Linked DNA regions of Arabidopsis thaliana. The protein of the gene in region 2 interacts with the protein of the main gene of each other region in a pairwise test. Each region holds a gene or a part of one and is shown on either strand. Other genes may lie near its edges.

The links.
Region 1: the proteins of AT2G35605 (region 2) and EMB93 interact in a two-hybrid assay, tested with the Arabidopsis thaliana proteins (one large-scale study listed by BioGRID).
Region 3: the proteins of AT2G35605 (region 2) and ATHB13 interact in a two-hybrid assay, tested with the Arabidopsis thaliana proteins (one large-scale study listed by BioGRID).
Region 4: the proteins of AT2G35605 (region 2) and AT1G05805 interact in a two-hybrid assay, tested with the Arabidopsis thaliana proteins (one large-scale study listed by BioGRID).

What each region holds. Positions count from the first base shown.
Region 1 is NC_003071.7:896,732-903,919, reverse strand, and holds EMB93 (Mitochondrial transcription termination factor family protein), read left to right. Parts: upstream 1-2,920; 5' UTR 2,921-2,971; coding exon 2,972-3,826; 3' UTR 3,827-4,230; downstream 4,231-7,188. Other genes in the region: AGL30 (AGAMOUS-like 30), read right to left, coding at 351-819, 907-1,019, 1,097-1,171, 1,245-1,341, 1,426-1,487, 1,573-1,588, 1,693-1,757, 1,851-1,869 and 2 more.
Region 2 is NC_003071.7:14,942,776-14,950,225, reverse strand, and holds AT2G35605 (SWIB/MDM2 domain superfamily protein), read right to left. Parts: upstream 4,186-7,450; 5' UTR 4,066-4,185; coding exon 3,862-4,065; intron 3,325-3,861; coding exon 3,199-3,324; 3' UTR 2,950-3,198; downstream 1-2,949. Other genes in the region: XEG113 (xyloglucanase 113), read left to right, coding at 1-129, 218-423, 509-614, 771-1,027, 1,128-1,263, 1,352-1,446, 1,539-1,592, 1,681-1,794 and 4 more; BRXL1 (BREVIS RADIX-like 1), read left to right, coding at 6,945-7,064.
Region 3 is NC_003070.9:26,255,471-26,263,758, reverse strand, and holds ATHB13 (Homeobox-leucine zipper protein family), read right to left. Parts: upstream 4,972-8,288; 5' UTR 4,594-4,971; coding exon 4,458-4,593; intron 4,377-4,457; coding exon 3,994-4,376; intron 3,660-3,993; coding exon 3,294-3,659; 3' UTR 2,978-3,293; downstream 1-2,977. UniProt on the Arabidopsis thaliana protein: Probable transcription factor that may act in the sucrose-signaling pathway.
Region 4 is NC_003070.9:1,740,339-1,749,665, reverse strand, and holds AT1G05805 (basic helix-loop-helix (bHLH) DNA-binding superfamily protein), read right to left. Parts: upstream 5,223-9,327; 5' UTR 4,824-5,222; coding exon 4,349-4,823; intron 3,457-4,348; coding exon 3,164-3,456; intron 2,906-3,163; coding exon 2,777-2,905; intron 2,631-2,776; coding exon 2,565-2,630; intron 2,474-2,564; coding exon 2,405-2,473; intron 2,296-2,404; coding exon 2,239-2,295; 3' UTR 1,932-2,238; downstream 1-1,931. Other genes in the region: RABA5E (Rab GTPase-like A5A protein), read right to left, coding at 316-638, 890-1,361; DGL (alpha/beta-Hydrolases superfamily protein), read right to left, coding at 7,047-8,462.

The DNA.
Region 1 (7,188 bases), about 14 Mb from region 2:
ATCGCCGGAGAAATATGGAAAACCTCAAAAAATCTCATCTGACTGAGAAATTATGTATAGAAAAGAATTAAGTGACATCTATTGAAGATATAGAAAAAATAAATGAACACGTATTGTGTGTGGTTTGGTTGCACAATCTACCAGGGATTACCACTGGTTTTTTTCTTCTTGGAACCAATTCAGAAATCGGCAGAGTTTTAGCTTTCTTGCTGTTTCTGAAAAAAAATATTGGTTTGAGTTTCTTCAGTGAGATGTTTTATCATCATTCATCAAATCTCTCTCAGTTCGGCTGCTGCATCTATAAGAAAGAAGAACAAATTGTCAAATCAGTCTACAAAACAAAAACCCATTTAGAATCTCTGAGAAAGTTTTGTTTTGGTTACCTGGGAAAACAAGTATTCGTCGAACATTGAGATTGAGCAAGGCAAGGAGCTGCTGCTAGAACCAAACCTGGTTTGGTTGGTGTTGTCGTTGTAAGCAGAAGAATCAGGTGGTGGTGCTTCAAAGAATCCATTCATATGATACTCTCTCTGATTCATTGGAATATACACCTGAGCATGCGGAAGAGTAAGAGGAAGAGGAGGAGGAGGCAACGTTTGGTGATGATTCATATCATTGTGAAGATTGGGATTGTATGCTGTGATATTATTATTATTAGTGAACTGCTGCTGCGAGCTTGTGTCCTGTTTCAGCTGTCCGGTGTTTAGTTCATCAAGAAAGCTTGTTTCTTGACCCGGAATTGTCATTTCAGGAGATTTCCCTGTTCCAAAGTAGCCTGGATAGCTCCCGAATGAAGAACTCGCTGAGCACTCGACTTCCCTTTTGAGGATAGACAAAGATTTGGTTTTAAGATATGATTCAATATTAAAAGAAAGAAAAGTTCTCTCGGTGAGAGTTTTCACTAACCTCTGCGGGATTGAATTGTGTTCCTCGGTGACAATGTTGGTGGTGTTGCTATTAAGAATCCATGACATAGATTGAAGCTGTTGTTCTAAAGGAATCTGAATCCCATCTTGCATCTGAAAGTTGTACAGCCGGGTTTACAATTTGTTTTGTTACAAATGAGAACTAAAGAAGAGTCATTCGAGTAAATTACCGAGCATGTTGACCAATCCTTAACAAAGTTTGCGTTTTCTATTTGCATTGCCTGTTGCTGCTGCCCAAAATGTTCCTATCAACAGAAGAGTTTTTAGTTTTTTGTTTCGCGGATGAAGTGAAATGGAAAAGTTTTAAACAAAAGATACCTTGTGTGCACGCAATTGATCAAGGGATTGCCTAATCGAAATTTCGAGCTGTCCCAAGTGTTCAACATTGTTAATCTTATCTGGTTCCGTCCAATAACTGCAGAACATGACACTAACAAGTATAAAAAAGAGCACAGACATCAAGAGAACAAAGAACTATCATCCTCAGCAAGATCTTTACCTTAATCTTCCATGTATCTCAGAAATCCGAGCCTGCAGAATCCTTGCTTGAGTACTCAAGTCCTGAAAAAAGGTTGTTTTGTATAAATTTAGGCTTTGGCAAATGTCATAGACGTTAGAAATGGAAAGAGAGTCTTAAAACCAATACCTCTACTGTTGAATTACTGAAACCAAAGAACCAAAAGCAAACAAGAGAGAAGAAAAGAAGTTAATATTCATATAGAGTTTCTTGCAAGAGATTTTGATATAAAACTGTTTCCGGACATACCTTGAGGCTATAAATTCGCGTATATTTACATCGTGATCCAACTTTTGGAAAGTTTTCTTCAAGTTCTGAGCTTTCGAAAGAGAAACATCTAAAATCAGAGATTCTCAAGGATCAAAATTAACCAAAAACTTCATTTGATTATGTGAAAATAAACTTACTTCAAGACTCTCGAACTTCCTGTATTCAAAAAAGATGAAACCAATGAGTAAAACAAGACCAACCATTGCCGGAGAAACAAACAAAAACATATCGATAAGAAAACACCAAACCTTTTCGTTCTTTCCTGCGGTGTTACTTGAGAAAACTTAGCAATCACCTCTTCCATGCTACTGAAGAACAATCATAATACATTCAGATAACACAATCCAAGAGAGACAATGATTATGTTGACAACAAACAAAACAAAGGAAGACACATTAGATAGATTACCTTCGTGTACCGCAACATATTGCAGCCTTGCCAGTAGGAGAGAACATAAGAAGAACAATATCAATGTCACAAAGAATAGATAGCTCATTAGCCTTTTTCAAGATCCCATTTTTCCTTTTAGCAAATGTAGATTGGCGTCCATTTGTGTTCTCTAACTTCTTTATCTTCAATTTTACCCTTCCCATCCTGTTAATCCCCAACTATATATTAAACCAAAATCAAAATCTCTTCTTCTTCTTCTTCACAAAACATCAATAAACTATTCTTCTCTTCAATCCAACACAAAAAATCAAAACTTGAAATGAATCATTAACATAATACGTTTCCAGAATCTGCAATCTATAATACCCAGATCATGAATTTCAATTTCATCACTTTGGGTTTTCAATAAAGATTCAATCTTTTTCTGAAGAAAACAGAGAGATTGTGAAAACCCTTATTAAGAAGAGATAAGGAAAGAGAAGAAGAAAAGGAAACTTACCTAAAGAGGCAAATTCAAACGCCAAGCTGATACTAACCATGAGCGAGATCTTAAAAAGGACCTCTTGAAGAAGAAAGGGAAAAAAAAAAAAAACTTCGAAACGAAGAATCGAAAACCAGAGGTAGAGATAGAGACAGAGAAGATGATTGCGGTTAACAGACTCTGCGCAAAAACCGGTCTTATGATTAAGCCGCTTGAGAATAGGGATCCTCATTGGAAGAAGAAGAACAAGCAGAAACAACTCTCAACCAAAAAACTACGTCGTTTAATCTTTATCTGACCGTTACACCAGAATTACCATTTTACCCTTCTTCCATTGTTTTATCCACACTTTAAAGATTGAAACTTTTTTTTTCTACCTCACCGACGATGATGATAGCAAGGTGTTCTCTTTTTCCGCCGCCGTGTTTCTCCGCCGTGAGGATTAGATGTTTCGCCGGAGAAACTTCAGATACTGGGATTCTATTCCGGGAGAAGCTTATTTACCTTCAAGACCTTAACGTAGATCCTCACAAAGCTCTCCGAGTAAACCCATCTCTCCGTTCTGCTCCAATCTCCTCCGTCGTCTCCGTCGAGACTCTACTCTCTTCCACCGGACTCTCAAGACCCGCCGTTGGTCGTATCCTCGACATGTTTCCAGATTTGTTAACTTCTGATCCTGAATCTGAAATCTTACCAGTTCTTCGCTTCTTATCCAATGAGATTTCAATTTCAGAGCAAGACATACCTAAATCGATCTCTCGTTGTCCTCGATTGCTAATTTCATCTGTAGATTATCAGCTTCGTCCTGCATTAACGTTCCTCAAAACCCTAGGATTCGTGGGTCGCGACACGATTACGTCACGGAACACGGTGTTGCTTGTATCGAATGTGGAACGAACCCTAATCCCCAAAATTGAGTATCTTGAAGAAGGGTTAGGGTTTACAAGAGAAGAAGTAGCGAAGATGGTTGTGAGATCTCCGGCGTTGTTGACTTATAGTGTTGATAACAATTTAGTTCCTAAAGTTGAGTTTTTTATTGAGGAGATGCGTGGAGATGTTAAGGAGCTGAAACGTTTCCCTCAGTATTTTTCGTTTAGCTTGGAGAGGAAGATAAAGCCAAGGCATAGATTGCTTAAGGAACATGGGATTTTGATGCCTTTGTCTGAGATGTTGAAGGTTAGTGATGGTCAGTTTAACCATTGGCTTTTAGAACTTCGTCTTAGGTCTGCTGAAAGAAGATGATGATAAACAACAACGTTCTTTTTGATGTTCTTTTTACTTGAGATTTGGGACATGTCAAGACACTTCACATGAGTTTTGTATATAGTTTCTGTTTCAATGATTAGGCTGAGTACATGTTTCGTTAGATCATGTAATGTGTAACTTGAGATCGTGAAAGAAGATGATGATCAACAACAACAATGTAAGCTTTTTGATGTTCTTTGTTCTTGGTACTTGAGATTTGAGAGATGAAAATTGCAGAAGTTTTGTACTTTGGGACATGCTAAGACACTTTCATATGAGCTTGTATATAGTTTTTTGTTTCAATATGTTAGATCATGAAGGTGTAATTAAGAATCTAGTTTTTTTTTTTTGGTAAGGTAATTAAGAATCTAGTTGATGAGGAATGAAAGTTGCTTTAAAGTTTACATGAGAAAGATGGTAATTGACTGCAAAAGTGATGATTTGCACCAAGTACGTGGGTTTCAGTAGATGATCACATATCCCTAGCTGAGTGAATTAGAAATGTTTTGCGTTTAACCATTCAAAATTTCAAATTATGTCCATTACTTTGAATCTTTCTCAATGGTTCTGTTAGCTTCTTTCAATGTACTCTGTAATTCACAAGACTTGAGTATTCATTAGCTTATGTGTTTTTTGCTTCATAATTTTACAAATAGTGTGTGGTGTTGTTCTCTGTAACTTCGGGCATGTTCGTTTATTAATCGCTGCGACAGCGACAACGACTCCGACGAAGACAAATTTTTTAACAGAGATACAAAAACAGTCGCTCAATATGGACGCCGGCGACGTCTCTAGTGAAGATGTTGAGTCGCTGTTATTTTTGGCAACACGTGTATATGCCTTATAGGTCGCTGTTTTTAGAATCGAGTGATTCCTCTCCACATAACTTTCTATAGACTTCAACGTAATTGTGTGTTAAACAACTGTTTTTTTGGTCGCTGGATTTGATCGCAGCGTCTGGAAAAAGAACAGGGCCTTCAAATTCTCTCCTAAATTGTTAAGAGTTGACTCAAACTGAAAACTGTAACCTTCCATAATTTTGAACCATATAGCTTGGAAACCAATAACTTAAAGTCGGATTAACGAGAAGCGAATACACGATCCTCAAATACTGATTCATTTCCGTACATAAAGCTCAGGAAGTAATTGGTGTTGGTGTTAGCCATCTGAATTGTCCTGCTCGAGGCGCTGGCTTTACCTCTAGCACATCTTGATGTTGTCATCTCCTCTTGTGTTCTCAGTGGCCTTCATTTTTGGTAAACTCAATAAAGTGGAGATTGTATTAGTCCTAAACAAAACCTTCTTAAATTTAAGACAAGTGTAGGGTCGTGCATACAGAAAATAACGTTTTTCACTTTATTTAGTTGGTATATGACCAATCTTAGGTTTGTTGCGTGGTAAACCGGTAATGGTTTTCTACAAATTTATTTGGGTTAATTTGTTCATGTCTTGTATTTTAATATCTTTCCGATTTTAATTCGCTCACTAATTATTTTTTATTTACTTTTTTATAACATGATATATTGATATATATATATATATATATATATATATATATATATTAATAAGTCAGAATAGTTGTGAATAAGAATACTAAAACTTACAAAAATAATAATATTTTTATACAGTTTTTCTTTTGGAAATATTTTTAAATAGGTCATGAAAAATATAATCTATGAATATATGATAATATACATAATTTTTATTATAGAAAAGTTAGAATACTTATAAAAAGGATAATAAGAAAAAGGATTTTTTCTGTTTAAAAGATGTTAAATACATTTTGATCAAATATTCTTACTACTCGTCAAATTAATTATTTAACTACTTTTTTTGTTTTAATGCTAACCTATCAAATTTTAACAAATAACGAGGAAAATATTTTTTATAGTGGCCATTTTTGGAATAAATTTTGAAAATTTTCTATTTTCTGCTATTTATAATTATTTTAAATTATTACATGCAAAAAATAATCCGAATTTTAAACAATATCTGAACCGTAGTATATATATGGATATTTAATGTAAATTTATTTAGCACTAATTCTCCATAAATTGTTAGGCGTTAAGATTGGGTCTAACATGTAAATCATGAATAAATCCAAGATTAATTGTATATTATTTAATGTTAGAAATATATATAAAGTATTATGTTTTTTTCTTTCCAAAACAAGTTATTACTCAAAAAATCTATTATAGAAATTTCAGTTTTCAGAAGTAAATAGGGTATAAATGTTTAGTATTTTGTGGATGCCATATACTAATTGCATACTACAAGTGTATGAAGAAGAAAATTGCAGTTTTTGTAAAAATTTATTTGACATCAATGAATAGATATTCCGGCCCTGCCAGTGTGCGCAACTTGTACATCCCATGGATTGTGTCTCATCATATCTTCATATTGTGGTTATTCTTGCCATCTTTTGTTGGAGAGATGATTATGGTGTATCTTACAAATTTTTAGTCGCAACTTTTATGCTTTTATTACCTATATGTAGCGTATCTAGAGACTCATAAAACTTTTTAAGATGAAAATCAACCAATGTGACTTAGTGACAGCGTATTCTCTTTTGTTCCCTATGTGTGCTACAAATTGCATAAAGATGTATTTAACGGTGGGTACATTCTTTCTTTTTGGAATTCGCAATCTCCAGATTCGTACTCCCATTAAAATCCATGAGTCTTTGGTTCCTCTTGTTTTTGAGAAGTCGGTGGATGAGCACAAGATAAGGAAATCAGACGGTAAAAAAACAATCTACCAACGTCAAACAATATTTATTATTGCCATGACTCAACATAAAGATTTTCTTTTCATATATATATATATATATATATACATATATATATATACATATTAGATTATGACTCATGCTACAACATGGGTTAAAATTTTTTTTGTTAATATATTATATATTCCAGAATCAAATTTTCATATATTATAATAGTAAGTGAAAAAAAAAAAATAGCAACAACAAAATAAGATTGCATATATCAAAAGTCTAAATATTATAAATGAACCATATCTAAAATGTATTAACTAAGGAAGTATAGGGATCATGGAATCAATAGCAATAAGTCCTAGTTAGCTATTTTTTTTAGTTAATTTAGGAGATCTTTTTTGAATTTTAACTTTTTTGGTTGTTGAAATAGAAGTTTGTTTCATATAATTACGGAATTTTACATAGTCCAATATAGTATGAACATATGTTTGGTATATAATAATACCAAATTCAACCCATGCATGGAATCCATGTTTTCATTTTAGAATTCTAATGAAAATTTGCTTACAATATCAAATTTTAAAATATTTAGAAGTGTCAAACCTTATTTAAACAAGCATATAATACATTACGTTTAACA
Region 2 (7,450 bases):
AAGAATTGTTTGGGGAAAGAGTGAAGGACAATGTTATTATAGTGACCTTTGGGAACTATGCTTTTATGGATTTCATTTTGACTTGGGTTAAACACTTGACTGATTTAGATCTCTCCAATATTCTTGTTGGTGAGTTGTCACTTCTAATATCTATTTCTGATTGTCCATTTCACTGGCTTTCTGTAAGTTAGTAACTTTATGTTATGGGGCTTTATAGGTGCGATGGATACAAAGTTATTAGAGGCTTTGTACTGGAAAGGCGTTCCAGTTTTTGACATGGGAAGCCATATGAGCACAGTGGATGTCGGGTGGGGTTCTCCAACATTCCACAAAATGGGAAGAGAAAAAGTTATTCTCATAGATTCTGTCTTGCCTTTTGGTTACGAGCTACTTATGTGTGACACTGACATGGTGTGGCTTAAGGTGCTAATTCGACAGATTATTATCACTGTTATTCATCACGTTATCTTCCTTAATAGACTTTCTTCTGATAATTTATATGTGACAGAACCCTATGCCTTATTTGGCTCGATTCCCAGATGCTGATGTTTTGACTTCAAGCGATCAAGTTGTGCCTACCGTCATAGATGACAGTTTGGACATATGGCAACAAGGTAGATGTTAGCTATAGATATGCATTTTCCCCTGTTCCCATTTGAATTCGTTTATCACTCTGGCAAAAGTGTTTTGAGTTTATTATTATCAGCAGCTAATCTGTTCACATGGCTACTAACTGTTTTCTCTACCGTTCTTTTCTTGGACTTTGAAAGTTGGTGCTGCCTACAACATAGGAATTTTTCATTGGCGGCCGACAGAATCTGCGAAAAAGTTGGCAAAAGAATGGAAAGAAATTCTCTTAGCTGACGATAAGGTTTGGGATCAAAATGGGTTCAATGAGATTGTTAGGAGACAGCTAGGTCCATCTGTGGAAGGGGATAGTGGACTTTTCTATGCTTATGATGGAAATCTCAAGGTTGGAATTTTGCCAGCTAGCATATTTTGCAGTGGTCATACTTATTTTGTTCAGGTACCTTTCTTCATGCTTCCTGTTTTTGTGTTTTATTATCATCCTCTTTTCTTTTGTGTTCAGAAATGACCTAACAGGTAACTTCTATTTTCGATGGAAGGCTATGTATCAACAACTCAGGCTAGAACCATATGCCGTGCATACAACATTCCAGTATGCAGGTACCGAAGGAAAACGCCACAGGCTTCGAGAGGGGATGGTTTTCTATGACCCACCAGAATATTATGATTCACCAGGTAATATTCTTTCTGTTAAGATTCTTCAACATTAATCTTGTTAATGGGGAAAGCCAAAATCAACATTGTAAACTCCAACACAATGCAGGAGGTTTCATTGCGTTTAAACCATCGATTCCAAAAAGCTTGTTACTTGACGGGAAGCATACCATTGAATCGCATTTTATCCTCGTTAATCACCAAGTAACAACTACTAACCTAACATGATCCCTCAGAACTATATGCTAACTTGACCACCTTTCTAATTTTACATCCACCTTTGGTCCACTTTACAGATGAAACAGATCAGATCAGCTCTAGCCATTGCATCTCTTCTTAATCGTACACTGGTGAGTCCATTCAACAGCTTAATGCATATTTCCTGGTGATAATGATTGATTCTTATATATAGCTGGTTGGTCTCTACAATGTTATCAGGTGATGCCACCAATATGGTGCAGGTTAGATAGGCTTTGGTTTGGGCATCCTGGTACTCTTCAGGGATCTATGACCCGACAACCTTTCATCTGCCCACTTGATCATGTCTTTGAGGTAGTATTTGTAATGATGTTGTAACATGTCAATATCTGATTCTTCCTCTGCAAATGACTCATAACAGCTGAATAATTTCAATTACAGGTCAATATCATGCTTAAGGAGCTACCAGAGGAAGAGTTTGGCCCTGGGATTGGTATCAGAGAGTATTCTTTTCTAGATAACCCATTGCTGCCAAAACAAGTAATATAGCCGCCCAGATATATTTTTCTAATTAATCATTTCATAGAAAAAATGTCAGGAGTGAAAATATTTTTCAGGTGAAAGAGTCATGGCTTGATGTTCAGCTTTGTCAAGAAGGAAAAGAAGGATGCGAGGCATCAAATAACACTAGCCCCTCTCGGGTTCTTAAGTTCCCAAAGCGGAGCAATGAAGATACGGTAACTAAGATTTCATTAGCTATCTATCACTCTTTGTTATATTTCAAAATCGCTGGCTTAGCCTTATCGCCTTGTTTTGTGCTCACCGCAGTTTAAGGCGATATTCTCTTCCTTCGACGATGTCAAAGTGATCAAGTTTTCTTCAATTGAAGATGCTTTCATCGGATTCTCTGACAAGGCAAGTAGATATTTAAACCGTGAAAACATTTAGACATGTTGATACACCATGTAAATCTGACCTGACCGAATCGGGTTTGCAAGCAGGAGCGAGAAGAAAGATTTAGAAGACGGGTAAAGAGATATGTGGGAATATGGTGTTGTGAGGAGAACAAGACTCCAGGACACATTTACTACGATATGTATTGGGACGAGAAACCTGGTTGGAAACCGGTTCCACCACAGACACCAGAAGAAGATCATCCTCCTCTCTGATAACATTACTGGCAAGAAGACTCCAAGAAGCTTACACTCGATTTCTTGGGTCACAAGGAGACAGACTTAGGGAGTTTTTTTTTTCCTTCTATACGGCCTTTTTATACTACTGTGGAACTGTATCTTTCTTTTCTCTGTCTCACTCAATGTATCATGTTATAACCATAGGTTTGGACACAGAAACTTGTTTCTTCTTTTCATATAATTTCTCTGTAGATTTTTATATTAATAAATGGCTTATTTAGTTGTTTCACTTTCATACTTCAAAAACCACGCAGTCGTGTTCTGTTGAATTGGTATATTTGGAAATAAGAATTATCCTGCTGAGAGATAATGAGATGTGAAGGAGTCCATGCCATATTGAGATGGAAGAAGATTATAGTAGAGATAAAAAAGTTCCAAGACACAAACCACCATTAGCTAAATTGACTTTGAACCATCATCCATACATAAACCGTCTAAGACAGATGGGAACTGGCTGGTAGTCTATATATAACCAATAAAGATCACCCATAAAAAGATACAAAAAAAGAAGAACCGTTTCTTGGATGATATAGTAATAGAAGCTAAGGAAAATGCAATGTGGGAATCAAGCAGACTTAGGAAAATGTTGAGACAGAAGTTTTGAAATCTCGAGGAACCCGACAGTGTCTTTCCCACTGAAGATCGTCTTGAGTTGCTCATCGCATAGTATCTCCCTTTTGTTCACCGGATTCTACATCAAAAACCAATAGTATGTGTTGGAAAACAAGAATCTCTAAAACATAGAAATGTAAGACCAGCTAAGGCTAACAACACGATCAAAGTAACTTCCATTAGCTCGTAAATTTCCCTAAAAGCAGTGATTTCTTCACTCAACATAAGCAAGAACATATAGCTACAAAAGTTAGGCTTTGAAATGTTGACTCCTGAACAAATCAGATATCCAAAACATCAAGATCATAAGCTGCAGTCACAAAGATAAACTTAATCACCGAATTAAAGGCTAATCACAACACCTTGTTCTACCATTTTGAAGAAATCAAGTTACTTCAGGACAACACAAAGCCTCAAAATTTCTACGAATCTTCCTACACCCAGAAAAATGCTTAAGCAGATACAGTCAAACAAGCTCTATTAGATCAATCAATCACCCACGTGGCATAAACAGGTTATTAATTTAAGTAACGAGAGCTTAATTAAAAGACAAAATCCAGTAGAACTCGCAGAGAGAAGACCCAGAAATGTTCGAGAAGATAAAGCAAACCCTAACCTGAAGATTGTTAAGCTTGATATATTCCCAGATTTTCTTGACGGCAGTTGTGCGAGAGACTTCGTTTTCCCCAATAAAATTAGCGAGCGGCTTCGAAACGGGAACCACCTTAAGAATGCCAGTACCTTGTCTACCAGTTTTAGCGCCGGTGGAAGAAGCGGCCTTCGCCATCAGTACCCTGCAAGCTCCGAAAACCCTCGACATTTTTTCTTCTTCACACAGTTTTGAAATTGGAAGGAGAGAGAGCTCTGTCTAAAACCCTAGATCAAACTCACAGACTTTGAAAACTGAAACGTTTCCCAGTCTCTCTCTTTCTCTCAGCCCTTTAAAAATTAATGAAGGTCTGTGGTTTAGCTCTTCTTAGTTTGGGCCTGTTTTGGGCCTCCTATTGCACCAAGATTCTGGGCCTTTTTGGATTTATTTGATAAACAAAACAACAATTCGAAGCCTATAAATGTCAAAAGAAAGCAATGGCATTCATCGGTCTATCATGTCATCCAATCAAAAGATACAATTTTCCCTACATAACAAATTGAACAAATATTTGATAGACATGATTCTATGTTTTTTTGGGCAAAACACATGATTCTATCTAAAACAAGAGAAAACGATTTAAAGCAAAAACTTTGATAAAGAGATCCAAACAACAACTAAAAAACGTTTGTGACTGATGCGACCGTACCCATTGGGGGAGTTGTATAGTGTGTAAAATCATGACCGTAACACGACCCGTTTGAACTAACGTCATCCAATTAAAAGCCGCCACTAGGCTACTTCCTGCACACGTAAGAGAACTCTCTCTCTCTCTCTCTTTTTATCTCCGTCACCGGCAAACACCAATGGGCCCTCCCTGCCGTCTCTTATCGAGACCAAATTTCAAGGTTTACTCAAAGAGAAAGAAAAAAAGTATCTCCGTCAACTCACGTCGTAAGTAATCTAACGCCGTTAATATCTCTATATTTTCCTCCACCTTATAAATTACTCACGGTCGGTCCTCCAAATGCCTTCTCTCTTTCTCTCCGTCATACTTCTCTAAACAAAACCCGGAGCTCCGTAACAGTTACTGGGTGACCCGACTACCCGGATTCTTACCCCGTGATTTATGCTTGTATTTAAAGTTCCTCTCCAGTCGAAGAGTATATTTCGCTGTTTCTTGGAGTTTTCGATCTTCTCCGGAGTAATTTGGCTTCGACAGAGCGGAGATTATCTTCAGATTCTGATTTGAATTCGCTTCAAGAAGACGTTGCGGTTCAGGTACGACTCCGAATAACCCTCCATTTAAAGATTTTCTCGTGAAATTTTCTAAGCTGGTCAAACCTTTTTTTGTAAAAAAAAAATTTCTGGAAACCAATCAGATAATTTCTCTACTGTTACATTCTATTACTTCAGTATCTACAGGCTGATTTAAATCATCGTTCTACGTGTTTTGTTTCTTATGCTTCATTTTTGATGGTTAATAACAAACACATTACCCAAATCTATCAATTTTTTACTAACCAGATCATTCATGGCAATATTTATTACCACATTCAAAAGTTTCCCTAGTAATATTTGACTAGACTACTACTGTTTGCTACTTTACTTTTGCTTTTTACTCGACAAAAAAAAGGGAAGAAATTGTGTTTCTCCAATGAAAATAAAAGCCATTCATCATAATAATCAATTACGTCGTCCTTTTGCATTTACTTCATATTACTACTGCGCCTGTAACGCTGCTAAATCTCTGCAGCTTTGTTGGGTCTATTATAGGAAACAAAAAGCAATCCTTAAGTTTCAGATATACACGCTTGACGCTTAACCTTGCAGACTTTTCGATACAAGGTAAAACACACTAAACCCATACTTCAATTTAATTCCATTCATTACCTCTGATTTTTTTTTTATCTACTGGGTTTTGAATGAAAACAACTCATTTTCTTACATACTTTCGATTTTATTCAATTTTTTCGACATGCATTAAGATTGGTCCATCATCACTTGAACCCAACTCTTTCTTTAATTCTTTCTCTGTTTTAGCTCTTTCGTTTTTTTTATCATACACGTGACTGTTACAGATTCCATTTTGTTGCTAAGTTCTTTTTCTTTACTTCTGGCTGTAATAAATTCGAGTGTCTTCATACTTTCAGTTTTATAGTTTAAAACAGTATTTTTGGACACGAGTGATGAGAAGAAACAAATTTTTGTTTTTGTTTTTTTTATAGAATTGTATATTTTTATTAAGCTCTCTAATATTTAAATGTCAGAAACTTCGGCTTGCCGGAGAAATAAATATTCTTTGAAACTTTTGATTTATGTGTGTGACGAGGAGATGGGGTCTTTACTTTGGTATTGCTGCTCAACAAAGCATTTACACACTCAGTTTCGCTTCTCTATTCAGACCCACTTTCTTTGTTAAAAAAGAAAGAACAGAAACTATATAATTTTAATGTCATCCCTTGTCTCTATCATGATCATATTTCAAATATTTTTATTGTTCCAAAGGTTATAATTTGATCCATTCAGGTGCCATCGACAATCCTTTGAAAATATATTTTCTCTAGTGGTCCTTTTCTCTGATCCCCAAGTTGTATCTTTGAACACTTTTGTCTTTATCAAGATTATTATTGCCCCTAATTATGTACCTCCATAGCTTGTTTTTATTTTAATACTACATATAAAACTTGTATCCCTCTCTACTTTATTTCATGAGTTCCTTAATTTCATGAAACATTTTTAGGGATATAATTCTTTAATCTTTATGGCTTACTGCATAAATCATGTGTCTCAACTCATTCTTGCATCCTAAACATTTGCTTCATCTACTACTACTATTCTAGGAATATATCATCCTTCTCAAGAAATTTGTTTTTACTCCTTTAATCTTTATTATTGGGGTTTCACTAACTTATTATTAGTTGAGTTGCTTATCCAATTAATTAATTAAGCTCTAGCATCATTAACATTTTCATAGCTTTGTTTTTTCTTTTATATAGCTACCTTTATTTATGAGTAATGGTTTAGAAGTTGTGATGTTTAATACACTCTGTTTCTGTTTTATGGCTCATAGGGTTTAAAAGGCAGAGAACATAAAAAAGAGTGCAAAGATGTTTACTTGCATAAATTGCACTAAAATGGCAGACAGAGGTGAGGAGGATGAAGAAGATGAAGCGCGTGGGAGCACCACTCCCAACACTAAAGAAGCCGTTAAAAGCCTAACTACACAGGTCTCTTTCTCTCCCTAAAGATCAATTCTTTCCTTTGTTGATCCTTAAGACTCTTTTTCACTTTACTTTTGTTGCTTTTTTCCTAATTGCCTTGGTCTTGAAATAAACAAAGCCAAATTGAGAAAAATGGTCCTCTTAAACTGTTTTAACAATTGTAGTGAAAAGTGAAATAAACAGTTTTGAAATTTGGCTGTCAAGTACAAAAGTATAGAGGTTACTGTAGTTAAGGCTGCAGGTTACAAACAATATTAGGATCTTTAGACAAGATTTTACAGTGATGCAACATCACTTCTCTGGAATCTATTACAAATCTCTCTTTAATAGGTTATGTCAGTGTTTTATTTTCTGCACTCTATGTGACTAGACATAAAAAATCTAGCAACCAA
Region 3 (8,288 bases), on a different chromosome or scaffold from region 2:
TTACTATCTTCTTCGACTCAATAATCCAGATTGTTATAAAATTATACGCTAACTTGGAATCGTGAAAAGTGGATTTAAAAGTTTGTCGTAGTCAAATTTAAATACCGACAAATCATTATAGTGACTTAAAATGTATTAATAACTATGTGGATGAACGTCATTGTTGAAGTTGATTTCCATTGGACGCTCTGGTTATCGCTGTCAATTGTCATCTGAATTAGCTTAGACTTGTAACCTTGTACGTAACATGTCAGAGATATTTTGCTTCAGTTTGATTCTCGACTATAAGAAAACGTTGTGAACTCCTAAAATATATAACCACTAAAGATGATTGTACGAATAAGTGTCGTGTCGATATAATTACGCTTCTGAGCATAATTGATGGATTTGACCTCTGAATTGTGTCCACACACCATTCATTCATTATAAAGTACTCTAGATTTACAACTTCAATAGAAACTTTGAAATATGAAGATTAAAAGAGATATTTGAAACTGATATATTTATATGGCTAGCTAGTTCCCACTTCAAACATCTACATGGTATGGATATGGAATGTGTGTTAAAGTTCATGGTATGGATTTACGATCGTTTAAACAACTTCTTATAAAAAAAATTAATAAGGATATATTTATAATTTTCTATATGTGATGTTTAAGTATTCAAATCATGAGTGGACCAAGGTAGGGGTAAGATATAAATTATTAAATTTAAAGAACTTATAGCATAACTTGTAAATTTTGGTGTATTGACCCACTATAACCATGTTCGATACTCACATTTCAGTTAATAACTATTTTTTAATTAATACTCTCTCTATTTCAAAATGTAAGAGACATTTTTATTTTGTTTCATATTATAAGATGTTTTGCAAGGTTCTATACAAATTTAAATATATTTTTATTATTTTTAACTATTTATATGCTGTAATATTTTTTATGATTGGTTAGATTTGTTTTTATTAAATACAAATCATATTTTTTTTTTAAAAAAACTATCTAAATATTTGTATTTTTATCTTAAACATCTTATATTTTAAAGTAAAGGGATTAATAGTTATGTTGTATTTAACGAATTTTGGGGTCCGCCACTAATAGATTTTTTTTTGTTTTTTACCGGCACGGATAGAAATCTTATGACATATTCTATCCCAAAAGAAATAATCAGGCAACAAGCTTTTAACTACAAAAGTTCAAAAATATACGTACCCAATAACATTTATAACTAGATAGCAAACGTAAGGAATGTTTTACCACATGTACAATTCTATGATATAGGATTTTATCATACAGACACATGCACACAAGAAGTCATTTCCTAGTTGTACAATTTATAAGTATATTACGTGGAAGTGATAAGAGTGAGCATATAAGTGTAGTTGAAGCATCCAAGTTTACAAAGGGTCCATTAACCAAAAAAGCAAAGCAAACCAAACACGGTTAGCTAAAAAGAAAATTGTACTTTAGGAAAGAAGTGGGTGATTCTAGTGGGTCGCACCAACGCATTTCGTTTGATATGTTTTGTTTTGAATTCTTATAGTCATTTAGAGACTAGAGAGATCGTGTTGAACTAGAGCTACATAGTATCATTTGCAGTATTTTTTTTAGTTAACACCGAGTATCGAGATATTTTCTTATGGACCTTTGGGTTAACACCAATAATTTTCAACATGGGGGTTTGAACATGTTAACTGTTTTGATTTTTCAAATCTAATGAAAGTTAAAATATCCTTTGATTTTAATCTAATTTAGGATTCTATAACTGGCGACACTTCAGTTCTCTGGTTTTAAAAAGTTGGCAATTCACCACTAGTTCTTTAGAAGAAAAAATCAACGGTGTTCTAGCCTACAACCGCTTTTATATATGGCGATCAATTTTTTTGGTTCAACATCGTTGAAGCCAACATTGGCCTTAGTTTCTCCACATCTTTGGGTATTAAGCAACTTTTATTTATAGATTTTGTCGCATTCTTTTGTCGCTAGCATCTTTTAAAATTTTAATTGATTTTTTCTAATGATTGGTTCAATATTTTTTTTAATAAACATAGATTGTAAGTGAGATTTCAAATTTATCACCAAAAGGAAACATCGAATTCTTTAAGAAATTTCCAAAAGTTTAAAAGTGTCGGCCATTTGAATGTGGAAGATGAAAAGGAGTTAAAAAGGAGAAGAGTCGATTAAAAAGGAGAGTGACAACTTTCCAACCCCAAATTGTTTGCTTGCTTTCTTCCAACTCTCTTTGTCCTCTTCCTCTATCTCCCTTGGAATCTGTGTGCGTCTAATGTCTCTTGCTGCTTCTTTTACTCTCATCAAATCTATAATCTCTTCTACTTAAAATCCCATATTATCTTAAAGAAATTGAGGATATCTGATTTCTTAAAATATTTTTGTGTTGATGAACCAAGACTTCTAATGGGACTATGCATTTAATATATGTCATTGATAGATGAGTACTATTTTACACGGTGACACATTATTTTAATGCATGATATGTTACTTGATACCTCATCAATATTTCTGCGCGAGAACGAATGGCATTGTCATCAAACCGGACAACAAAGGTTTTCATCAAACCAAACTCTAATTTGCTGTCTTTTTTAATATAAAAACAAACTATAATTTGCTGATAGTGATGTTAGATTTTTTTTTCTTAAAAAAAAAAAAAAGACACACACGGTGAAATGAATAATGTAACTGTAGAATAAGAGAAGGGTTATGAAATTGATGGTCTGCGGCATCGTCAGATTTAAATATCGTACGTCTTTTGTAAGGTCTCGTGATTACAAATTTCACTCGTTTAGATTTTGTCCCATCATTTTTCTTTGGTCCTTTTAACCCGCTCGACCAAATCATGACATATGCAGAATTTATTTCATGGATTTAAACAAAAATAATGATTTGTTTCATGGAAAATGTCCTTTTCATTTGTGCTATTCCATTTATTTCTTCCCACTTCTGAATATGACGACTACGACCACATGGTGCCAGTACCCACGACTAAACTATATAATATACAATTTATTTTATTTTTCTCCATACAGAAAAATGTTGGGCCATAATGATATTATTTTTTATATAATATAATGGATATTACCCATTTTTTTACATCTCATTTACTCAAAAAGTAAACAAAAAACCTCAGTGGTGTTTGGTTGCAGATTTCAAAGTGAGCTAATGATATAGATTCCAGTTTTTGAAAACATGCATGGGTTCTTCTGATCAAAATTCCAAATACAAAAAAAAAAAATATAAATTTTTTTAAAAACAAAAACAAAAAAAACAGGTAGACCAATTTCAATTGTACTGTTGCTGATCAAGCCATGGCCAAAAACCAGAATGGTCATCCATTGCACAGAACATGTTACTGATACTATTCTCTTCTTTAACCATACTCTGTCCTGAAGATGAGTTTTGAAAGAACTGCATTGTTGTAGTAGTTGTCGTTGCGGTGGCTGGCGACGGTGGGAAGAAGTGTCGACCAACTGTCTGTGGTGGCGGTGGGTGGCCACCGGTTAATGTACTGTCGTTTGATGGCGGCGCAGTTGAGATATCTAGTCTGAGATTATCTGAACTGTTATCACTTCTGTTACTGCAAGATCCTTCAGTTTCTTTGTTTAGATTTATTGATTCTGTTTGTTCTCTGTTTTTTAATCCCATTATCTGCGTAATTAAAGACAAAATTTTAAACATAAACAGAGTTACTGTACAATGTGATAAGCATAAAGAAACTATTGTTTTCAGATCTCTTTCCAGACAAGAGTGAAGAAAAAAAGAGATAATGATGTCTGAAAAGTCATGAATCATGTCCAGTTTTTTAACCCTACCTGAAAGCAACTCCTGATCCAAATAATTATAAACCAGAAATATAATTTTTAACCTTTTTTAAAAAGAAAAAAATCATCCTTTAGATGGAAAATAACTGTAATTATTGATCATTAACCCAAAAAAAAATAACACATATTGATTTTTTTTGTTAATTTATGAGATTAATTACCTCAGCTTGGAGTTTCTGATTATGAGTTTGAAGAAGATCATTTTCAGCTTTAAGTGTATCAAACTGTCGTTTAAGAGTATCATAATCTTTCTCTAGCTGCTTTGTTTTCCAACGAGCTCTTCGATTTTGAAACCAAATCGCGATCTGTCTTGGTTGCAAACCTAAGGCACGAGCTAGCTGCATTTTCCTCTCTGGTTCAAGTTTGTTTCCAAGCTCAAAGTTCTTCTCTAGTGTCTTCACTTGTTCCATGTTCAATCTCCTCTTCTTCTCTCCCATTTGTGACCCATCATCTGAATAATCCTCTTCTCCATTCATATTGTTCCCTGTTTCTAAATCACAACACCCTTCCATTGGAGATCTCTTACCTAGAAACGAAGCAAATCCTGAAACAGAACAGAACAGAGCATTAGAAAGAGATAGAGAGAAAACAGAGGAGATGTGTGTGGAAGTTTATGTATATATACCATGGAGATCTTGAGGTAGAGAGCAAGAAGGAAGAAGAGGAGCAAGAGATGGAGATTGATGAGGATGATCATCTTCGTAAGAGGTTTGGATCATGAAATTTGAAGGGAAAAAAGACATTCCATTATTACAAGACATCTTCTTCTGTTTTGCAACAGAAGTTAGTACTGTTTGCTTGAGATTTTGGTCGTTTCTCTTTAGTTTTTTCTTCTTGCCAATCTTTGTCTTAAAGCCATTATCATGGTCTTATAAATCTGAAGCTCTTTGTGTGAGAGTTTGAAATCAAATGGAAAAAAAGAAGAAGAGGAAAAACAAAAGAGAGAGAGATAGTGAAATGTATCGGCCTAGACTATACCACTTCTGGTATTTAATTTCTTCTTTATTTCGTTTTATATAGAAAGGCTGAGAGAGAGAGAGAGAGGACATATGAGCTGAGAAGAGAAAGAGACGCACTCAATTGATTCTCTCGTTAAAAAAAATAAAAATAACACGATCAAATACAAGCTTAAACTTCATTTACGTTAAGCCAAAGTATATATAATTATTAACTCCAATTTTATCTTCATTTTCGACAATCGTTTATAGATAGATATTTTTTTAACCATTGTTGGCTTCCAAGTAAAAGTGGGATCCAATTTAATTTACCCTGGTATATACTTACTCTTTAGTCTTTAGGATAGTGGATTATTGTGTGGTGCGCTGAGATTCATCTATAAATAAAATTTGCATCAGACCACAACAAAAGACACAGTTTGAACTTTGAATATGATATTGAGGTGTAATATCTACTTTTAGTTGGAGATAGAACAAAAAAAATGGGGTTAAAAAATAAATAAATGTAATTGCAGATTAAAAATCGTAGAATTGACCAAAACATGTAATCTTAGTGTTTTCGTTGTGTTATTACTCATATCAAATTGGCATAATCCTAAATATTGTTGAAAATGAAAAAAGGAAGCAAATTACAAGGGGGTTTAGCTTGCGTACAAAGTGGAAAATGAAGAGATGATAATCAAAATGGTAAGAAGAGAAAGGACTCTTCTTTTTCCCCTTGGGAGAGACATGCAGAGAGGTGTTCTCTCTCACTCATCATACTTGTCCTTTAAATTTTATCTAATAACTTTTTCTTTTATTAGATTTGTCCTTTTTTTTGTAAGTCCAATTCTCATCTTAAATCATAACTATCAAAGTTGTGTCTCTCTCTCTCTTTTTATCATCTAAATTTATTTCTAAAGAACTTAATTTACAATTTATTTTTCGCTAAATCATTTGCATAGGCTGAGAACATATGTAATAAGTAGCTAACTAACGCCTTTCATACTTCTATTGATGTAAATTAATTTCATATATATAATGATGTAGTGATATTGGGGTAGGGACGAAGCTGGATAGTGAATGGGTCCAATGTTGATCCTATTTAATCACGCTAGTACGTATGGACTATATATAGACCCATCAAATAATCGTATTGTGTCTACATGGATTGACCTAGACCTGTGGATCTAGGGATTGTACATAATTTTATTTTATTTTTTGTGGGAAGAAGAGAGAAGTGATATTATTGATTTTCAGATGTTCTATGATGCTAGTTTTGATTATTTTGATGTGAAAAAGGAAGATTGAAATATTTAACAAAAGAAGAAGATAATAGCTGCACTTGTAAACCATAGTATAACTGTGATTTTTTTTTTAGTCGGATATATAGTTACTTTAAATTTGTTCGTTTTCATTCTTCAAATAAAAACGATTGCGGGTGAATTGGAAAGATCAAGGCAGTCAGAATAACATCAGAGTTCATAAGAAAATATATTATTTTAGGTGTCCGTCTTACACCACCCACCTTATCTAATACGGTCTTCATTCAGAACCTTAGTTTAATCTTTTAGTTCAGAATATGGAACGTATATAGTTAATCTTTATAGGTAACTGCTAAAGTCTATCGCTAAAAAGGTGAAAAAGTAGAAATTAAACTAACAAAATATAGTAGTGTAGAATTTCTCTATATGTATTGTTACTTCGTTTTTATTTAGAATTCATCATTTTTGTATGAAATTAAAGTTCAATAAGTCTAAAAAGTATGATCGGTCCAAACATAATTGAAATTTGGTCTGAAATAGAATGGAAAAGCAATCACCATCTCAAAATAGCGTTTAAACGAAAAAATTATATTGAAACTGTAAATAGACTTACAATATATACAAAAGCATGGATTATACGTATGTCCATGATCAACAATCTTGTAACATGTATTTGAAATTCTAGATCATGTCTATGAGAATCATGGTACATCAAATCTGATCTCATCAAACCTATTAGCTTTGACCTAACCTATCAACCGCAAGACAGATACCAAAACGAAACAAGAAATCAATTGACTACTGGTAATGCTATATGTATATATGTAGAGTAATATTGATTGACCAATTACAAAAAAGTTATACAATTAGCAAAATAACAATAATAGGAATAATCAATAAGTATCACAAAAGTAAAATTCTCGCTAAGAGAGAAGGGTTTCTCGTGCTATGTTGGCCGATTGATTGGTATCATATCAAATGGAAGTGATGCAAAAAATTCCAAATGCATTATATTAGAGAGTTACAAATATAAAATCTAATGATGCAATTTCTTAAAACCCTTTTGTTGTTTTCCATTTATTTAAAGTTCATATATATAACAGACCTGTTATATGTTAGATAGCTTATGTACACATGAATGCATATGTGCGTGTGTATATGCATGCATAGACAGACGTATAAAGATGGTGCGTGGGGTACTTAGGTTAAGGAAAAAACCAAACAAAACTACTATTTGATTAACCCCACATAAGAGCTGTTCTATCTTGTCTCTCCCTCCTTTCCTCTTCCATTCCTTTCCATAATCAATCTTTCTTTTTATTTTATTTTATTATTTTCTTAATTTCTCTTCCCAACATCCCTTGTGCCGTATTCATCGATGATGTTTACTCTAACATCATCAACCACATAATTATTAACATTTTAACGTTCATTTTCACTTTCGATTAGACTACTATTCATTACTTTGAGACTACTTATCCGTCTCTAACTGACATTTCACGCATCACATCGTGCCGTTCTGCAATCAAAACTTTTGTATCAAAGTACTTTTACTTATCCATGCATACATATAGCTTCACAAATACCCGAATATTTATTGAATGAGTATGATTTAATTTTTATTTTGTATGGAATGTGAATGACCCAAAAAGTTATTTTTTTTTTTGGTAAGGAAAGAGAAATTAAAGAAGTTATAAACAATCTGGTTTTTAGAAGACGAGTAAAAATTGTTAATTTCAACTAATTATTTTTAGTACTCAAGTATATATTATATTTATTGGCAAAACATAAAAGATGTAAACATCTAGATACATTTTAATCCATTCGAAGAACTTAACAAAAAAAAATTTCATACATTATATTACATTCGGTGTGGTACAGATCGCACGGTCAATCAATCTAAAGATCACTTGCGGTGATTGAGCGACGTTGTATGATTTTATCCATACTTCATATTGTTTACTGTTATGATCCATTCTTCACAAGATTGACTAGACGCGATATATGTGCACTCTTATCATCAAGAAGTGAAATATAGCGTATGATTAGATATGTGAATTTAAAGGCTAGTCTTACAAGTTGCTAGCGAATTTGGAAAACTTGTATAGTCGTTTTTTTTTTTCGGTATGATCACCCAACTTTGACGTATCTATTTCAGACACTATAAAAGCATATGTTTCGATTACTGTTTATCCAAATGGAAATGTCTCGCCCAAAACCTCAACATGAAAGTCAGGAAAGTCCAACAACGTAGTT
Region 4 (9,327 bases), on a different chromosome or scaffold from region 2:
AGAAAACTCGGTGAAAAGCCATCTCTTTTTTTCTTCCCCTATTTGGATTTATTTTCCCTCGCTTTTCCCAAATAATGACAAAAATCACAAAACCAACCAATCAAATTTAGTTTCTTTAAAATAGGAAATAACCCAAGTAGAATGAATAGATCTTTTGAATGTTTGCCAAAATTATAAAAGGAAAATTAATGTGACCAAATAAATTACAGTTCATGAATTTCTTTTCTTCCATGAGTCAAAGAAAAAAACAAAAATTTATATAATAAAGTTACAGTTGTGAGAAATAAAAAAGGATTATTTTGGTGTGGTATATCATCAAGTGGAAGAACAACAAGAGAAACCAGAGCTTTGTTTGGAGGCAGAGTTATCATCCTTAACAAGACTTACCCGATTCACGGTGAGTTCGTCTTTATAAGTATCTGAGTTGAGTTGCTTACGGCTCACGTTATTGTAGATATCAAGTATCACCATCTCGAAAGCTGTTTTAACATTAGTCGAATCAAGAGCCGATGTTTCCACAAAGAAGAGTCCTTCCTCTTCGGCTAGAGCCTTTCCTTCCTCCACGCTCACTGCTCTTATGTTTTCTAGATCACACTTGTTCCCCACCAGCATTCTCGCCACCGTCGTATCCGAATGGACTGAAACAACCAAGAAAAGAGCAAATGAATCAATTTTAGATCTCAGACCAATCTAAAGATGTTCATTATGAGATACTTTCCTAAGCGGTTCTTGAATAATCCTCTGTTATGTTCTAGCTAGGTCACAAATTCTATAATCTACCAAAACTAGATTCAAAATTTCCCAATTCTAAGTCAATCCGTACGACCTAATTAGATCATGAGGATCCCCTAAATCGATAGTCAATCGCATAATTCACATCGAGACTTACTCTTAAGCTCATCGAGCCAACGTCCAACGCTTTCGAAAGTGGTGCGGCGGGTAATGTCGTAAACGACGAGGGCACCGACAGCGCCACGGTAATAAGCGGAAGTGACGGCACGGAAACGCTCCTGACCAGCAGTGTCCCAAATCTGAGCCTTGACCTCTTTACCTTCAATCTCCATGCTCTGCGTCTGAAACTCGACTCCGATCGTCGCCTTGGAGTTAGCGCTGAACTCGTTACGTGCGTAACGAGATAGAAGATTAGATTTACCGACGGCAGAGTCGCCGATAACAACAATCTTGAAGAGATACTCCTCTCTTCCTTCGTCGTCCGAAGACATCGCTCGCTTCACCGTCTTCTTCTTCTTCCCTAGGTTTCTAGAGAGAGAAGTAGGACTGGTTTGGAGAGAGAGAGAGAGGGAAAGAGGAGGAGACGGAAGACGGTGCAACAAGCTGGCACAAGAGGACATACTGCGCATTAAGTGCACCTTCTTTAATGTCGTTACCTTTTTCTTTTTCTATATTTTCCTCCAAATTATCAGTTTTAATTTACGACTTTTCCCTGATTTGTGTTTTTGGTTAGTTATTTTAAAATCCACCACGTTGGTGGACTTCTTGGTAACGTAGGAGGGAGTTATATTTTTTTAACTTACAAAACCAAAGTGTATGTATAACTAAAGAAATTTCATCTCTAATAAAGAATAAATCTTTCTCTGTAACGTGCATACACGCTAGTTTTGTTAATAATAGGAAAGTTAATGCTACTAATAGTATTCCGGTTCATACATTTTATGCCAATTTTCATATCAACCTATATCTATTTGCATGTTTCTAACTACTACTAAATATATCATAATTCATTATATGATCAACGAGATTCACTTTGGTCTTTGGTACGTGAATTCTGCTTATTAATGTTTTCATTGGTTCAAGTAACTTTGGTATTTGGTCCATTTCTTCAATTTTAAAAATAAGAAAAATTAGCGTACCTTTAATTTCAATATTCAATTCAGGAACTATTTATGAAGAAGTATAAAGAAAAGAGAGATCAAATTAGAAAGTCATATATATAATGGATGCTAGCTTGCTTTGCTTATGATCATAACTCGAATTAGTTTCAGAATTCATAGCATAATCCTTACAAAATAGGCGACACTCAAAACATAAACTTGAAACAAAAACATAATGGACAATTGTCACTGTTCTATCTTATAATGATAACGAATGAGGAGCTTAATTATAAGAGGATTAGACATTTAATATAATCTATTTTATTTACATCTTCTCTAATTCTCTCATATGATAAAATCGGAACAATGCAAATAAAATTAGGATGACCCTACCTTTGGGTTTGAGCTAGCTTGGTTTCTCACTGCACCCACACGTGCAATTCTCTTGATCTTTTTTCAAATTCTGCGTTTGTATATGAAAATGTGTTTATGTATCAATATGGATCATGAACTAGAGAGAACTCTGGAAATGGATTCAGCTGACCTAAACAGAAAAAGTAAGATAAGGGAACCTGAAGTTGATGCTGAAGGCCTTTGATGTGTTGTACAGCTAAATCCAGCATGTCTGAATAGCTTGTTTGCTAAGAAAATCAGCAACAAGTGTGTGAGGTAATGAACACTTTTTCAAAATGATGTTACCATATATACTATATATATTTGATATAAAGTAACCTTATCCATGTTGGGGACAAGATCTTGTAGCTTCTTTAGCTTCCCACTTATTCTCGTTCTCCTCTCCTATAATATAAACATATTGTATAGGTTAAGATAGGAGGATGGCAAAAAGAATAGGGTCTACATGATTAGGGACGATCAAATTTGTTGCTAAATTTAGTGAATTAATTATCCATCGCTAAATAAATTAAAAAGTGTTTATAACTGACCCGCTCAGCGATGCTTCTAGGATGGGTGGCGCAGCCGCGTTTGGCCCGGATTTTGCAGGGTACAGAATCTTCTGGAAGCTGCATGAAGTTATCCATGTAGTTCATTGAAGTGTCTGAAGGAAGACTATACTGCAAAACCAGTGATAAAAATATTCGGTAAGAATTGGCCACCAACAAAAATGTATGGCCACTAAAGAGTTTTGCTGCATTTACCTTTACTAGTTAATTTTTTTTTTTATGTCTATCCTAAAACAAATATTTTACATTTTTTTGTCCTTTTCTAGAAATTTTGAAATTTCATATAATTTGACTAAAGTAGCATGTTTATAGTAATAACACATGAAGAAAAAAAAAAAGGAATCCCACATGGAAACAAATAAATTGTACCTGCGAAAAGAGACCAGAGTCCATGTCCTTGGATCGTTTACTGGGCCTAGTCACGGTAAACCCTATCGAACCGGAACCGTCATCCCAAGAATCAGTAGTGGCTGCACCAAAGCTAGCCGCAGAAAACGAATGGCCTGAACCGTCGTGGACTGGGGTCTCATTGACCTCGTTGATCCGAGCCAGAGAGTCGTGATTCGTGAAGCTTAGCTGAGACTTCAATCTGGAATGTCCTCGTCCCCCATTAGACCCTCCTTGCGGACTATAATCACTGGTTGGTTGGTTCAACGAGAAATCTGATTTACAAAGTAAACTATATTATAATGACATTACGTGAAAATTATTTTTAAAAATAATTCACATTCACATCCAAAATATTAGAAACCATATAATGTAAGTAAATAAAGAGGGATTTTTGGATAATATGGATAGTTGAATTCCGGTTCAGGCCGGTGACCGGTTAGGTGTGGGAAGTCACATCCAGGCTTGGTGGAAGATATTATGATTAGATAACAACGAAGCAAAGCACGAATCATCAGGACCAAGGAAAAAATAATATAAAAGTGGACAGATCAGATCCACCAACTAGATCTACATCGCTTTCTATTTGAATAATCTTCATCACAACCAATGATATTTCGCCATCTCAGCAGAGAAACTATTGGTCATCAACGAAAAAATCCATCCTCTAAATAAATAAATGCAACTTGAGATATAGGAATCCTCGAAGATTTAAATAATATCCCAAATTAAGGGTAACCGAGCCACATTTTTGCTGTATTTTCAAGCACGTGGTTAGGGATCAAATGGTATTTTCGTCATTCCGAAAATACGAGGATCACGTCTTGCACAAGTACCAACCAAGCTAATTTAGCAACGACCCTAAATATCAAAGCTCACAATGTCAACTTATTTTATATACATAGTCGTTAATTAACTTGTAAGAAACTAGATACTTCACAGTGAGAAATACCGAAAATACCCTCGTGGTTAGATTTTCATTTCACCAAAAAACGGATCTTTAGTTGAGCAATGAATGATTGAATGACTGAAAACTATATAGCTCATATTCTACATTACGATTTTTGGCAAATTCTAAGGAAAAATGGTCTGAAAATGAGTAAACTTGTCTGTCTAAATATATATATCTCATCACAGTTACTATTCTTGAGTAAAAAAAGGACTAACTGTTTTTATCTGAGGCGAGGTAGGTGAAGAAATCGGCGGGAGAGCTACGTTGTCTAGCGAGAGAGTAAGATCCTGAGCTGTTTCCTCCTCCGATGTCGTTGCTCTTGTGTTGTTGCGAGATCTCGTTGAATCCACCGTAGGATCTGTCGAGGAAGATATCTTTATTACTATTATTATTATTGTTATTGCCTAGCTGTTTCTGTCCGTCGGATGAGTTGTTGACTCCACAAGTCGTCGAATCGGATCTCAGCGAGGATGAGTCAGCAGCTCCGGTGAAAAAGTTACCGATGAAGTTATCCGACGACGGTTGATAGCCGGTGAAGTCACGAGCGTTTGATGAGCCTCCTCCGATGACTTCGTCAACCACAGAGTTTAGAAACGATCCCGGAGCTGAGCCGTAACGGATCAGTCCTCCGCCGCCGGGAAGCGATGATCTCTGCGATGATGATGACGTGGAGGATGATGATTGGTACATGACTTCTTCTATCGCCAAATGGAGAGAGAGAAATCTGAAAAGTTTGGTTTCTAAAAGAAAAATAAAAGATGAGAGAGAGATGATGCTTTTGTTTATGGGGTAACAAAAAGTCTTCACTTTTCAGCGATTGGCTATTCGTTGGATGTCACATGTGTCTCACGTGATCTTCCGAAAGATATGGTATTAAATTTAAACCGAAATAAGCCAATCAAAAACCTTTATTAATACTTATTTATTTTGTAACGAGTCAGCTTAACCTTTGGGCTTTGGGGCCGCGAATATGTGGGCTGGGCTTGATAAAAAGATAAGCAACATTTGCGATGTCTTTGATTAAGTTTAAATTTCCCAAGATGTTGAGGTTTTCAGTGGAATGCAATTATTTTTCTCTAGTGTATATAACTCACATTGTTAATTTAAAGATTTCAAGATCACAGAAATGTTAAAGGTAAAAATTAAAATGATTCGATAAAATTCGACTTAATTGCTTAATAGTAAATTGAACAAACATAAATGCTTATATCAAATGCATGGTTCATCAATACTTTTTTGACGCAAACCTTTTTCCGATTGTAATTCAAAATAGTTCTGTTAATTTTTACCTAAACAATTAATATTGTTGTTATTATTATAAATAGAGCCCACAAATATGGACGTTTCCTCTTTCACCAGTTATTTTCAAATTTTCACAATAGTATATGAACTTCCACAAATGGAAAGAAGTAAAATTAAACGAGAACTCATCTTGTCTGAATTATATATCCATAAATTGGTGTGTAAAATGGAGTCGTAATTAAGATGCGTACGGATAATTAGCTACGACTGTGACATGCAAAATAAAATAAACGTTTTTCTGAAGAGTGAAACACATCTGATGCGCATGCAGGAATGATACACACATTGGTCTCCAAACGTACGTGTTTTTCTAGCCCCACCCTTATTGACCCCATGTGATTCGTAAGAAATCGAAGCTGAAATTCAAATTAGTTACTGTTCTAATTGTTATATATGTCTTTATTTTTATTGTCGAATGATGTGATCTGTAACCAAACTTCCAAATTCAAGTTGAATTATTTTCTTTCTTTCTTTTTCAACAAAACCTCTCGTGAACAGAGAATCCACATCGTGAACAAAACCTTTTTTCGGTTTTATGTTATATATAGAATAAGCTAGTGCATATATTTATAGATGAAAGCTTCCAAATGAGAAATTAAAAAGTTAAAAAAAGACCCTCGCATAACACGAGAAGGGACACATTTACAAATAAAAATGGGAAATATAGATAAAGATTGCATGTATTAATTAATATCTCAGTGAGTTTATTAACATTAAACCAAAAAAAAAAAAATATCTCAGTGAAAAAATAAATATAATTTAATATCTCCGTGAGTAATATAAAGACTCCGAAAGAAAAAGAGAGTATATGGAACTATTGCTGACGTTGTCTTTGACAAATAACATAGACAAATTGTATATATATTCGATGATTAAATTTGAGCATATAAATAACTTTATATATGAACTTTGATCATTTAGAACAAAAAATCAAAATATAAATTATACACTGTAACGATGTTGAAGATTTGACAAATGATTCTTATTGTTTTTTTTTTTTTTTTTTGCTAAATATGATTTCTTATTGTTCATTTTTAATCTTACAGGTTATAATGACGTTGAAGTTTTGACAAATGGCTTTGTCTTTGGCCATTATTTATATTTATAATCTAATACGTTGGTACCTCACGTCACTTCTACTATAATAATATACAATAACCAATTAACCATAACAAATTAATAATAGATGTCTGTTTTTATAACTAATAAAACAAAAAAAAATACATCTATCGATTAGGACTAATGGACTATAATATAAAAAGATACACAACAATGCTAATATGTACACGCCTGATATTGGATGATGTCCCTTTTTTTCATTCACAATTTTGAGTTCTTGTACTTCATCAACAGTTGAGAGCTTTAACCTAAAGAAAAGTATTATATTGTGAACTCATAGTAACTAAGAGAAGAAAATAATTATTTTTGTTCACATTGTGATAGATGAGACGCAATAATTTATCTTGGATGTGGAAAATATACTTTTTTGTATTAGGTTTTGCATATACATCTATATATGTACATTTCTTATGCTACGTAAAAGATAGGGCAATAATTATTTTGTCCTATCTTAAAAAAGAATCCAAAATTTTAGCTTGGATCAATCTAGACCTAAAATATATTATAATACAACATATGGTTGGATATAGAACAAAGTAGATATGCCGCATTGGTCGCTGCGTTTGTAAAATGCAACGCTTGACGTCGTCCCTTACTGAACATCAGTTCACTTGTTCTGTTCAAAAACTCGCCGCCAAAATTGTCTTCATTAACCGCCAATTTCGAGCATCTCGGACGGTTTACTAGAGTGATGTAAGTCTCGAGGTCATGGACACAAGAAATGTTTTGAACATCGAAGAAATCGAGGGTGAGTTCGACTCCCACGTGAGTGTAGCAAGAACAGCTCCAAGGAAGCTCGTAAACACCACCTAAAGATCTGAAATTCTCATTAAATAAGAAACCTGGAAGTTTGGTGATCGGATCGTTTACATTCGTGATCCTCAAGACTTTAACTCCTAGCTCCTCACACCGTTTTTTGAACCCCAAGTTACCAACTCTAGGACCAGCAAACGAAAACACGGTCACCGGAACAGGTTTTTCGTCCCTTCTCTGGTTCATACCGAGTTCCGCTATGTCGTAAGCTAGAAGCTGAGCTAGAGAACTCCCCATACTATGTCCCGCAAGTGTTATGCTTATTTCCTCGCCTTTGTGCTTGTTCATAAGCCTCGAGATCTCGGAGAGAAGCTGCTCACGGCAGCTTTCTAGCCCGAATTTGCTCTCGCTCTCACCGGATGTGTATAAACCTAAGAACCCGGATTCGACCTTGACATCAGGACGAGGGTTATGAGGATCAAGCCTAGCCGGAGTCAAAGAGCTCTTTAGGTTAGCTAACCACTCATGGTTGGTGACAGTGCCACGAAACGTCACCAAAATATCCCTCCTTCCCAAACGTTTCACCGATTCATCAGAAGAAACCGCTACATAACCGATCCAACGTGCACGGTTAGGCTCGTTCTTGATAGGGTTGAGGTTGATGTCTGGTGTGGCGTAGATATACTTGGTGACTTGGTAGCCATCAGGGTCATGGATTCCGGATTCTTTAAGCAAGTTCTTTTTTCCATACTTGCAACTCAAGTAACGTTTGGAGTTAGGGTTTAGATCAAACCCTTTGTAAGAAGCGGAGAGTAAGTTCCCGTAGCGAGTGATCTCTTGTTGGAGAATAGGGCTTAGAGGTTCAATGAGATTTTCCCAGTTATTGCTCCCTTGTATCTCTCTCCAAACCCGAGACAACGGTAGAGTCACTGCAGGTGCTCGAGAAGGAGGAATGGCCTGAGAAGAAGAAGAAGAAGGAAGAGAGAGTGGAGAAGATGAAATCGGAGGGGACATTGTAGAAGAAGAGACAACGAGTCTTTTAGAGGTGTGCTGGGATATAGAGAAATGGTCAAGATTGTGTTTCTGTTGAGGAGTTTTGTCTCTAACTAGAGATTGAGAATAGATAGGGTTCTGAGTGAAGACTTTGGCCGCCATTAATGGACGGCAGTATAGAGAGAGGGAAACACAGAGATAGAGAGCAGTTGGTTGAAGTATAAAGAGAGACAACGAGTGAGATGCGTATTTATAGAGTGAAAATGTGAATGGAGATCATGGAGATAGAAAAAGCTACAATATGTTTGGCGAGTATTGACTGAGAAATTAAACTATTCAAAAGTTATCGTTGGTACAAGTTTTAATAATAATATTCATATGTTGGGAGACAAGTATTAATATTTTATGTGGTCGGTTCTAATTATTAAACATTTTCTATTAATCTTATAATTTCTGTTCACGCCTCATGCTTCTCTTCTATACTATCCTATAAAGACAAAAAGAAAGAACTTAACAATAATTTGAGCTATGTATTATTCGATTACGATTTAGGCTAGTTGTGGTCATCGATATGCAACAATAAAATTTATATAGTGGATATGAAATTTTGAAAATAAATCTGCACCTTTAAAATCATTATTATTTTTATTTTTTTACAAAAAATTGATCATATATGGTAAGTTTTTGTTAGAGTCTTTCCATAATTTGATTAAATTCAGAAATGCCGCTGAGGTAAATCATACTTGAACAAAACGGAAATAGATTTTAATTGAAAGCTAAGAATTAATTTACTGCAAATGAATGTAAAAATTAACAAAAAATGTATATTATCAATTAAGAGATTTTCAGTCGAAGTGTCAAATTGACATTAAGTAACGGATTAAAATATTATATAGTAGAAAATAATGTAAATATTGAAGATCGTAAATATCCATGGCTTATAAATGATGAAGTAGTCGTCATTATTTACAATCTAAAAATAAAACGTTATATTTGTTTTATAAAACAATTCACATGTAAAAGAAAA